Linked DNA regions of Danio rerio. The protein of the gene in region 1 purifies or fractionates together with the protein of each later gene. This does not show direct contact. Links are inferred from orthologs where the notes say so. Each region holds a gene or a part of one and is shown on either strand. Other genes may lie near its edges.

Evidence for each region.
Region 2: the proteins of snap29 (region 1) and stx7l purify together in Homo sapiens (affinity purification with mass spectrometry; 3 studies listed by BioGRID and IntAct, counting the BioPlex papers as one, with this or other methods). This does not show direct contact. The link is inferred for Danio rerio from reciprocal best matches to the Homo sapiens genes SNAP29 and STX7.
Region 3: the proteins of snap29 (region 1) and stx6 purify together in Homo sapiens (co-immunoprecipitation; 3 studies listed by BioGRID and IntAct, counting the BioPlex papers as one, with this or other methods). This does not show direct contact. The link is inferred for Danio rerio from reciprocal best matches to the Homo sapiens genes SNAP29 and STX6.

The regions. Positions count from the first base shown.
Region 1 is NC_133183.1:3,069,588-3,073,243, forward strand, and holds part of snap29 (synaptosomal-associated protein 29), read left to right. Parts: intron 1-1,577; coding exon 1,578-1,682; intron 1,683-1,761; coding exon 1,762-1,922; 3' UTR 1,923-1,961; exon of another isoform or gene 1,962-3,656. UniProt on the Homo sapiens protein: SNAREs, soluble N-ethylmaleimide-sensitive factor-attachment protein receptors, are essential proteins for fusion of cellular membranes.
Region 2 is NC_133195.1:49,559,232-49,563,500, forward strand, and holds the start of stx7l (syntaxin-7), read left to right. Parts: upstream 1-1,462; 5' UTR 1,463-1,511; intron 1,512-4,269. UniProt on the Homo sapiens protein: May be involved in protein trafficking from the plasma membrane to the early endosome (EE) as well as in homotypic fusion of endocytic organelles. Mediates the endocytic trafficking from early endosomes to late endosomes and lysosomes.
Region 3 is NC_133197.1:16,196,103-16,200,287, reverse strand, and holds the start of stx6 (syntaxin-6), read left to right. Parts: upstream 1-1,342; 5' UTR 1,343-1,489; coding exon 1,490-1,524; intron 1,525-3,993; coding exon 3,994-4,163; intron 4,164-4,185. UniProt on the Homo sapiens protein: SNARE promoting movement of transport vesicles to target membranes. Targets endosomes to the trans-Golgi network, and may therefore function in retrograde trafficking.

The DNA.
Region 1 (3,656 bases):
ATCATAATATCGGTTCGAATCCACCATCAGCTGAACTCCTGCTACTTTTTTTTTTTCTCCCCATTACATATCAGATTGGAAATATATTTATTTTTAACAGGAAAGAAACATTTTTTTTAAATAATGCAAATGTGATAAAGTCACAAGTGTCTCATGGGTATTTAATAATGTGTAGCCTTATTATAGGCGCCTGCCGCGTCTTCCTCTCTTCAAAAACTATATTGCTCAGACAACTGTATTTCCTCTGAGCAAAAAAATATTAATATTATTATTATATTTAAATTGCCTTTCTTTCTTTAACTAAACAGAATGCTGTAATTGGTCAAGCGCGGAAACGTCAGTTTTGTAATAACCCGCACTAAACTGAGCGGACTGTAGTGTAACGTTATATCTGTCATAGATCAAAAATGAGTGGACAAGTGGATTTAGCAAACGCGACAGAAAGAGGAGAGGAGGCATCTTTATTGAGGCATTTTCCATACACACCTTCTTTAAACAGACCCGTGATCAGGAGAATGAGGGTACAGAAGAAGACGTTATGGTAACTTTAAATGATGAGTAGCTAGCATTAACCAGGCGAAGGAGGCTAACGGCAGCGCAGCGCGGACTGGATTCATCGTGTGAGAGACAGACAGAAAAGGAGAGAGAGAGAGAGAGAGAGAGAGAGAGAGAGAGAGAGAGAGGCCCAGAAGAGGAGAGAGACGGGAGAGAAGAGGTATAGTGTGTGTGATTTTGGATACTTTTAGGTTTATAATCAAGTCTTCATCACGAGAAGAGTAGAGAAAATGCAGGGAGAGGAGGAGAGAGACAGTAAACCAGTGTTTGTATTATGAAAGACTCAGATTCATAGAACTCAGATTCATAGAACTGGATTGGAGAAGCATTGTGTGTTATATGTCATGGCAATAATATGCTTTATAAGTTTGTAAAAGCAATACATTAAAATACCCTTAAAAAAAAAAAAAAAAAAAAAAATATATATATATATATATATATATATATATATATATATATATATAATGTATATGTATGTATATATATGTGTATATATATATATATGTGTGTGTATATATATGTATATATATGTATATATGTGTGTGTGTGTGTGTGTATATATATATATATAGTTTTATTAGTATTTTTATTTAATGCTTTGAAAAATCATTTAAATCTTTGTAGACTATAAATGCATATGTACTATATGTCATTTATTTAAATATGTGGGCAACAAATTATAGATTCATTTCATTTAAAAATTATTATATTATTCTTATTTTTTTAATTCAACTATAGGGGTGCGGCCAGGTAGGGGGCCTTACAAGATAATGTGCCCAGGGGCCCCTGAGTTCTTAATCCGGGCCTGGTTGAACCCAATTATCATGTTCTGAACTGTGGTGATGATCAACTATAATTCCAGCGTGACATTGCTGATCTTGCGATGTGACTATTGCAGATTTACACCCTGCAACATCAATGCTGTAACCATATATTGTGCAAAGCTGATTTATAAATCTCAGTTTCCCAAAAAGTGATTACCCCATGACTGGTTTTGTGCTCATCAATGTTTGTTTAAACAGGATTCGGAGCTTCTGCTGCTCTTGATAACGGCTCGTCTGATCAGAACGGATTTCCCAAAAACAAACAGCTGCGAGCCGCTCACCAGCAGCTGGACAGAAACCTGGGTGAGAAACACAAGAGCAGCTTCTCTCATACCTCCATCCAAGGAGTCCGGATGTGACAGTGTGTGTTTGTGTCCTCCAGATGAGATGTCTCTGGGTCTGGGCCGGCTGAAGAATCTGGGTCTGGGCCTGCAGACGGAGATCGATGAGCAGGACATTTCTCTGGACGCTCTGCTTAATAAAGCCGACACCATGGACGGGAAGATCAGCTCCACCAACCGGCAGCTCAAAAGCCTTAAATAGACTCAGGGGGTGATGTCACTTCCTGGAGGCGTGGCCAAGGTGATCATAATTGAAAACATGTGCGCTCGTAAAACATTTCTCAAGTTCTCTCCAAGATAAGGAGGAGTGTGTTGGACAGAGAAAATTAAAACAAAACAAGAGACTTAAGGAAGAACACATGATGGTGTGAGAAAAAAACATTATAGTAACAATGATGATAAATTGTTGTCTTTTTTTTATGCAAATATTGATTATTGAAGGAACAGTTCACCCAAAACAAAGCATTCACTCACTATTTACTCTCCCTCAAGCGTTTCAAAACCTTTACGAGTTTTTTTCTTCCATTGAACACTAAAGAAGATGTTTTGAAGAATGCTGAAAACCGGTAACCATTGACTTCCATAGTAGTAAAAACAAATGCTATGGAAGTCAATGGTTACCGTTTTCTTAGCATTCTTTAAAATATCTAATTTGAAAAGAATGAAAATCATAAAGGTTTGAAACGAGTAAAGGGAAAGTAAATGATGACCGAATTTTTATTTTTGGGTGAACTGTCCCTTTAAGAGAATATATGGTTGTTTCTACTGGAAAGCAAGACAAAAAATGAGTGGGAGATTAGAAAATCATTACTCACTAATTTACTCAAATTGTAAATATACTGGTTTAGGGTTACACTGTTTATAAGCTTTGAGTTAAAAATGTTCCCTGTAAAAAAAATTAAAGCAAAGTTTGTCAGACATGCACACCACAATCACTGCAATCCTTAAAGGGACAGTTCACCCCAAAATAAAATTCTGTCGTCATTTACTGGTGTCTTTCTTCTGGTCAACACAAAAGAAGATACACTGAAGAATGCTGAAGAAAACAGCCATTGGCTTCCATAGTATGGATGTTAATGTCTGTTTTTCCTCCCCAACATTCTTCACAATATCTTCTTTTGTGTTCAGCAGAAGAAAGAAATTATTAAGCGTTTGGAACTTGCGTGTGAGTGTTTATGCTATGTTTTTTTCTGCTAGTATGGTCCTGGTAATTTTCACATTCAATCCATCTCAGCATTGCACTGTGCCATTGTATTTCCCCCTGTGCTCAGATTTTATGTTTGTTAAAGTTATAGTTCACCCTGAAATTTAATTTTACTGACCCTCAAGTGTTTCCAAACCTTTGAATTCCTTTCTTCTGTTGAACACTAAAAGAAGATATTTTGAGTAATGCTGAAAACCGGTAACCATTGACTTCCATAGAAATCAAAACGGATACTATGGAAGTCAATGGTTACCAGTTTTCAGCATTCTTCAAAATATATTTTTTAATGTTTATCAAAAGAATGAAAATCATAAAGTTTTAAAACAAGGGTGAGTAAATGATGACCGAATTTTAATTTTTGTGTGAACTGTCCCTTTAAGAGAGTACACGGTTATTTCTACTGGAAAGCGAGACAGAAATACAGAGTGGGAAATTGAGTTTTGCCTTTATTAGTCATAGTACGTTACTCGAATTTTAAATAAGCTGGTTTAGGGATGAACTGTTTATAAGCTTTGAGTTAAACATGCTACCTGTAGAAAACTAAAATACAGTGTGTCAGACATGCACACCACAATCACTGCACTCCTTAAAGAGACAGTTCACTCCAAAATAAAATTGTCATCATTTACTGGTGTCTTTCTTCTGTTAAACACAAAGGAAGAAACACTGACGAATGCTGAAAAGATAACAGCCATTGGCTTCCATAGTATTGTTTAGATTCTACTATGGATG
Region 2 (4,269 bases), on another chromosome or scaffold:
AAAATAACAATTCCAGTGACTCGCAATCCAAACAGTACAACATACAAACAGTGCACACAAAAAATAAATAATTAAATATATATATATATATATATATATATATATATATATATATATATATATATATATATATATGTGTGTGTGTGTGTGTGTGTGTGTGTGTGTGTGTGTGTAAGTGTGTGTGTGTGAGTGTGTGTGTGTGTATGTATATATATGTATGTATGTATGTATGTGTGTGTGTGTGTGTGTGTGTGTGTGTGTGTGTGTGTGTGTGTGTGTGTGTGTGTGTGTGTGTGTGTGTGTGTGTGTGTGTGTGTGTGTGTGTGTGTGTATCAGGCCCGGATTGGCTAATCGGGAGGACCGGGAGAATTCCCGGTGGGCCGGTGCGTTTTTTGGCCGCGAGGGCCGGTGTCCCTAGCTCTAGAATCTGTTGCTCTCAGCAGTCACACTTTTTAAATTAATTTATTTACTTACTTGACTACAGTCTTCTTATTCATCATTTTACCGCAGCTCTGCTCTTTTTATATATGACCAGCCTGCAGGTTAATGACGATATTAGTCAGATGAGTCAGTCCTTCATATACAACTGTTGTGGTCCAGTGGTTAGCACGTTAGATTATGACGCTAACTTTCAGTAACTCGCAGCGACATATATAATATATATATATTTATATATATATAAATAATTTTTTTTGTCAATATTTAATTTACTATTAATCTCACTTAATGACAACGGTGAGCACACTGTTTGCAGCACAAGACTATTCTTGGTTTAATTTTGGGGATCGTCCTCTATGTGTAGTCGTGGCCTTTATTTTTTATGTACACGCGTGCCGTAAAGGTGTCAGAGTTTAACATTGTGCCATTAATCTAGTGTAATAACCCCAGGGGTTGGAATCCAATGGGAAAAGAATTGAAAGGCTGATGGCTTTTTATTTGCATGCTGTTATTTTATTTAACTATTAAATACCATGTTTATCTTCTGTAAGTTATGGATAAAATATGGCTATTCTAATAGTTTAATAACATATATTAAAGAGAAATCACCAAGCAACCCACCCTCATTGTCTCACAAACCCCAATTTGGGAACCACATAGCTATACTACTAGTAGCCTACATAAATGTTTATGTGAAGTATGCTTAAGATATATCAATATTAACTAACTATACTTAATAAAAAGGAACGTGAAGTATACTTCTTTTTAGTAAGGTTAGGCTACTTATTACCCATGTGGAAACCAAGTTAAAGTCTACTTTATTTTTGTTATGTAGGCTAGTTTTTTTTTTTTTTTACTTTTTTAATTGGGGTAAGTTAATAATAATAGACATCTGCCTAGTATTTGTCGATCTAAACATATAGTACATAAACTCAATAGTTTAGTATATGCGTCAAGTACATTACTAATCTACTACATGTTTCTGAACGCACACGGAAGATAGAACAGAAGTCACGTGACCCGCGCGTCAAAGAAATCAGCTGAGGGCTCGGAGTTTCACTCAGGAAATCCAGGTAAACCGAACAACCAAAGTACATATTAAAGTAAACGATGCGTATTTATAAACTGTACATGTGTGCAGACTTTACGTAAATAGTTGTTGAGGGTAGTTTAAAAGAGAAGTCAGTAAAGTAGCAAGCGCAAAGTTCATTCACTGAAGCATATTTGTTGACAGCGCGATTTGTGTTCACTTGACATGAAACTACACTGTAAGATTCCCGAATGTTAATGTTTGTTGTGTGTCAGCAAAGTTAAAACAATAGCTGTCTAGTTTTATAAATGAAAATGCGTGTTTGTGAGTTTGTGAGCCGTGATTTCCGCATTCTTTCGTTTTGCAGGTGCAGCGCAGATCGGTTTTACTAGTCATCTGTTTAGTACTAGCCTGCTAACCAATAAACAACATTACGCCAGCTATTTTCGAGTAATTATTGAGCTAATAAGGCATATTTCAAAGCAAGGTGAGCAACTATATGGGGCAAGTTTTCTCGTTAATTCAAAATGACAACAGTAATATCATTAAGGGAGATTCTAAAACGCATGAAATAAGCTTAATAATTGAGGTTAAGTTGATTTTATACTATAGACTTTATCCTTAATAATATAATTTTGGCTAAGAACTGCACATTCTGATTAGGGACATCATATTAGCATCTAATGACTTTCAAAGTACACGCTGCTCTCAGTCAATTAAATAATGCTAATGTTTAGGTCATACTTACATGTGATTTCAGACTTCATATATAAAGTAGCATGGTAAACAATATAGGGAGTGTATCACAAGTTGTCACTGAAAGAATGTGCGAATATAAAACCAACTTTGCCTCAATAGCTTAATATACCTAAACATCAACCAGAGAAGCCCACATTTCGATCAAACTTTACTTGTAATTAACCCGAACTACTGTTAAGACAGAGTCCCAATTCCATAAGTGAAAAATATCACGCTAAGCGTTTTCTCCACTATTGAAGTCTATTATAAGTAAAAGCTTAATGTGGCTTAATGTACCTCAACAACAAGTGGGGGGAACCAAATTTCTATCAAATTTTACTTGTGGTTAGCACTAACTATATAGCAAAAAAATTAAAAATTTGCCCCATTTCCACAGCTTAAGTGAACAGCGTTTTTCCCTATGTTGTTGTGGGGATGTCAATGACATGCACAAGTGCATTCTTTTGACAGCAAAGGGTTAATCTATAATAAATTAAGTTAGATTTTTTGAACAGCTTTTTTATAATTTGGTTTCCCTCTGTTTTTAAGTCAAGCTTTCCTTATTAAGGACTTCAACGGGGAAGAAAACACTTAACGTGATATTGTTAACTTTATCTGTGGAATTAAGGCCCATTCTTTTAAAAATAGTTTGTCTTAATCACAAGTAAAGAAATTTGGGTTTCCCTGGTCTGGGTTAAGATATGTTAAGCCACGTTAAGCTGATTCCTTATAATGCGCTTCTGTGAGGAGAATGCTGAAAGTGATATTGCTCACTTGATACACTAAAATAAAAGCTTGTTCTTTTACAGCAGTAAGTGTTTTTCATGAATATATATCTATAGAAATTTGATTGTCTCTAGATGTTAAGTTAAACCACATTAAGCTGTTATAATGGACTGAAATGGGGATAAAATGCTTAACAACATTGTCCGCTTTATCTACAGACTAAGGGCTTGATCTTTTGATAGTAGTTAGTGTTAATCACAAGTATTCGATAGATTTTTGGTGTACCCCACTTGTTGAGGTATACATTAAGCCATGTTAAGCGTTTTCCTTTTATAATGGACTCAGTGGGGAGAATTGCATACCGTGATAATTTTTACCCACTAAAATAAGAGCTCATTCTTTTGACATCAGAAAGTGTTTGTAACTTTTATAGAAATTTGGTTTCTCCCACTTGCTGTTAAGGTACATTAAGCCACGTTAAGCTTTATCCTTATAATAGACTCCAATGGGGGAGTAAACGCCTAACATGATGTTTTTCAATTTATCTGCTTAATTGGGACTCATTCTTTTTACAGTAATTAGGGTTAATTACAAGTACAGTTTGACAGAAATTTGGGGTTTTCTGGTTGATGTTTAGTTACATTAAGCCCCGCTTTCTTCATGTTAAGCATTTTTGAATGTCCCCATTAATATAATTAAGAAACGCATACAAAATAGTGAGCAATTGTTTTGGTCTCCAAATAGTACAGTACGTTTTAAGGGTAACTTAAAGTTGGTTTATATTCACACATTCAGACTTTCTCCTTAATATAATTTCAGAAAACTATTCTTTACTAATACTAAATAGTCAAATCATATTCCCAGCAAATGACAATTAAAGTACAGCATTGTTCATGGTCAATTAAATAGTGCTAATGTTGTTTTGGAGGCATATGATTCAGACCGAATATTTAAAGTAGTAAACAATATAGGAAACATGTCACAAGTTGTCCCTAAATGAATGTGGGAATATTAAACATTAATAAGTATGTATAGTTTGTGTAAAACATGTTTACAACTCGTGAAAGTCTGTCACTACTTGACATTTATTAAAAACGTCGCAAATCCAGCATTTCAGTTCATACATGTTAATATACAAACTATTCTGTAGCATGTAGGATCAAATATAATGATAGTTGAATGTTATTGAAGGAAGAAATTGATAAGCCATATGTAAAAACACGTTCAAATAGTATGTTTTAGGAGCAATGTATATAAGAAAACATGTTTATGAATAAATTGTATAAGCTTGTTATTATGTAGCGCAGTATAAGAGATAATTGTGCGATTGTAGGCCT
Region 3 (4,185 bases), on another chromosome or scaffold:
CATAAGTGTTTAATATACTTAAATAAAGTATATGTTTAAATAAATAATAAATAAAAAATACCGGTGGCACCATAATACACACAATGGTATCAGATTGTAGCTCATTCATTCATACATTTTCATTCATTTTTCTTCAGCTTAGTCACTTTATTAATCAGTGGTCACCACAGAGGAATGAACCACCAACTTATCCAGCATATGTTTTGGAACAGCTGTTGGCATTAGAGCTGCAACCCAGTACTGGGAACCCTCCATACACACTCATTCACACACATTCATTCATTTTCTTTTTGGCTTAGTCCCTTTATTAATCTGTGGTCGCCACAGCGACTGAATCACCAACTTTTCCAGCATATGTTTTACACAGCGGATGCATTTCCAGCTGCAACCCAGTACTGGGAAACATCCATACAATCTTACATTCACACACATACACTACAAACAATTTAGTTTATGAAATTCACCTAGCGCATGCCTTTGGACTTGTGGGGGAAACCGGAGTACCCGGAGGAAACCCACACGGCATGGAGAACATGTAAACTGCACACAGAAATGTCAACTGGCCCAGCAGGGACTCGAACCAGTGACCTTCTTGCTGTGAGGCAACAGAGCTAACCACTGAGCCACCATGTCGCCTGTTACATTTTTATGTTACTATACAATTATTGTACACATACGTAAAAGGCTACACACACATATATAAATGTTAGGAGGACTATATGTATGTGTGCTTTTACAATAGTTCAAAATATCTAAGATCTGAAAACATGGATTTTATTTTTTATTTACTGTGAATTTTCTGTGAATAATAATATTCTTATTTTATGTTAATTTTGGTGGCAAATCAAAAGGTAATCATTTTGAAGTCGGTGTATAATGATTCAGTTAAATTTAATTTTGAGGACGTAGGTTCAATATTTTAGTATGTTATAAATTCCTTTATTCATTTTCCTTCGACTTAGTCCCCTTATTTATTAGAGGTCACCACAGTGGAATGAACCACCAACTATACCAGCATATGTTTAACGCATAAACTATAAATTAGCTTTCAATTACGTAAACATTTACATATAGTAGATTTATTATAATAATAATGGTAAGCTACTTTACATAATATTGCCTGGATGATGAATAGACAGAATGCTGACTACCAACATATATTTAAAGCATTATCTAAATTAAACTAATATCTCGTAAGTATATTTTATATTTAGGCATTTTGCATATTAGTGGCAACGCTTTGTTCTTTTACTTCAACAAACCAAAACAACCCGTGCTGCTGTTTATCTGCCCAGGCGCGTGCGTGTGTCTAGACGCTCGAGGACCCGGATGTGATTCCGCCGGGCAATGGCGGCTGAGCGGATCCGGGCTCTGTCCCGCATGTAAACAACACGTAAAGCGCTCTCCTTTGTCCAAGTAAAGCTAAACCAGCCGCGGTCAGGAGCATGAGATTATCGCACCCCACTCATCGACTCATCTGAGCAGCAAAATGTCGATGGAAGATCCGTTTTTCGTGGTGAAAGGGTGAGTTTCAGGGCTTAGATCGGAGACTAGGGGCGAATATAAGATGTCGAATTAGACACTTTCAGGAATCAGATTGGAGTAACGTTAATTATTTTAAACTTTACGTACATTAGCTATTTGACTTGTCCTACGTTGATACTCGGCACCATTTAAAGCAGCTGTTTCGGTAAGATCGTTATCGTGTTGTCATGGCAACCATAATTATCGATTTTTTTCTCAAACGCTTCATAGCGTTAATCGATATTTGTGTCGTCTTCCCTTTAAAGTGGTATTGTTTTGGGTTGCCAGACATCTGCGTTTTGCTATAAGTTAGGATTTACAAATATGTAACGTTACCATGTTTGTCACTTTTTGGGGATACATATTATGGTATGCTTTTGGATAGTAACGTAATAGCATAGTTTTTTCCATGTCAGACATCCAAAAGCATTGCATTATCATAGTAAAACCTTTCAATTCAGTTCATCTTTTATTTCTATAGCGCTTTTACAATCTAGATTGTGTCAAAGCAGCTTCACATAGAAGATTATAGTAAATTGAAACAGTGTCAGCTTATTTTTGTGTTGAAGTTCAGTTTAGTTCAGTCCATTCAGTTCAGTGTGGTTTAATTTTTACTGCTGAGAGTTTAAACACTGAAAAGCAAATCCATCGATGCGCAGCTCCACTGCTCCCAAACCATGCAAGCCAGTGGCAAGGGAAAAAAACTTCACCAATTGGCGAAAGTGAAGAATTAAAAAAACTTGAGCGAAACCAGGCTCAGTTGAGCACGACCGTTTCTCCTGTGGCCAAACGTCTTGTGCAGAACTGCAGTCTAGGCGCTGTAATAAAGTGCGTGCATAATTATTGTTTAATTGTACCGATTTCACACTTCTTAAGTGTTGATTGTATGATATTGGAAAAATCTAACATTGCGATATTTAGTTATTCTGCGATATAATTATCTGATTCAGATGATTCTGCAGAAAAGTGCATCTGCAATAATTATAATAAACTATCCACAAGCATAGATCAAACAATAAAAAAAGATAAATAAACAGTGTTTTATCATTTTTACGTCTAACGTTAACTTACAAATGGTAAAATTTTTTATGCCTCTGGTTTTAAAATCCTACTGTCCAAAAAAACATGAAAATGATAGATTATACTACAGACTCAACATTGCACAACCTGCGATGTGACTATTGCGAATGACTACATTGCGATATTGATGCTGAAACGATATATTGTGCAGCCCTAGTATTGATATTGTGTATAATCATTAATAAGTTACGTGTAATTTTTTAACAAGCACTGGGGGTGTAAGATAATTATATTTAGATGTGCATATTTATGAAGCAGGTTTATTTTGACATGTCAAAACGAAGGGACCAAAAGGAGGTGTAACATTGGGGAGGAAAAAAAAAAAAAAAAATATATATATATATATATATATATATATATATATATATATATATATATATATATATATATATATATATATGTATGTATGTATGTATGTATGTATATATATATATATATATATATATATATATATATATATATATATATATATATATATATATATATATATATATATATTTTCCCAATGTTACACCTCCTTTTTGGGCCCTTCGTTTTGTATATATATTAAACGACCAAAAGAAGATCACAGCATTAATAAACCTGTAAAATTAAGGTATTACTATTGAACGACAAATACTAACTAGGGCAGGAGGAAGACAGATACATAAGCTGTCCTTAAAAGAAATCAGTATTGTATAACACTTCAGCTATTGGTTTTTATAAAGTGGGGATTTATATTATTGGGGGTTATCTATTGTAGTTTCTCATCAAATATTCTGACCAATCAAATACTCTCTAGTGTCTGACATACCCACCCCCCTCAAGATGCTTTTCATTTGCTTTATCCATTGATGCATCTTTTTTGAGATCAACCACTCTCACTGGCAGAGCTGTGATTAAAAACGAAACACTCTTGGATGTTTTTTATAAAGGAGAGGGGCTACTCTATGTCCCACCCTGTCTTCATGAATTTTATTTCAGATTACAACGAAGAAATCAAATTCAAAATGCTAATTTTAAAGCACTTCACAGCACCTTTAATTTATCACATTTTTTATAGGATCGCATCCATTATTTTTGACTTTTTAGTGAGAGTTGCATCTTTTTTATGGGCTATTTTCCTGCTTAATGATTATACACATCAGACAGTCTATTAATTTTCAATTTAATAATAATTATTCTAAATAATAATACTAATAACACTTATTAATAATAAATTACAAGTAAAATATTTTAGTATTTGGCTAAGAACGATGTATTTGAGAACTGGTCAAATTCTCTTTGGAAAAAAACAATTATGATCATATGTTTATAATTTTCATAATTATCTGCACACTCTGTAGTATTCTTGTCTACATTGTAGTAGGTCAATTAACCTTGAGGCTTAATTGAATGTATTTGTCTTAGAGAGGTGCAGAAGGCTGTAAACACAGCTCAAGGTCTTCATCAGAGATGGATAGAGCTGCTACAGGACGCGGGTGGAGCCAGCAAGGAGGAAGTGGACTGGACCACCAACGAATTACGAAACAGTTTGAGGTCCATTGAATGGGACTTGGAGGACTTGGATGAGACTATCAATATCCTTTTAGCTTAGTCGTC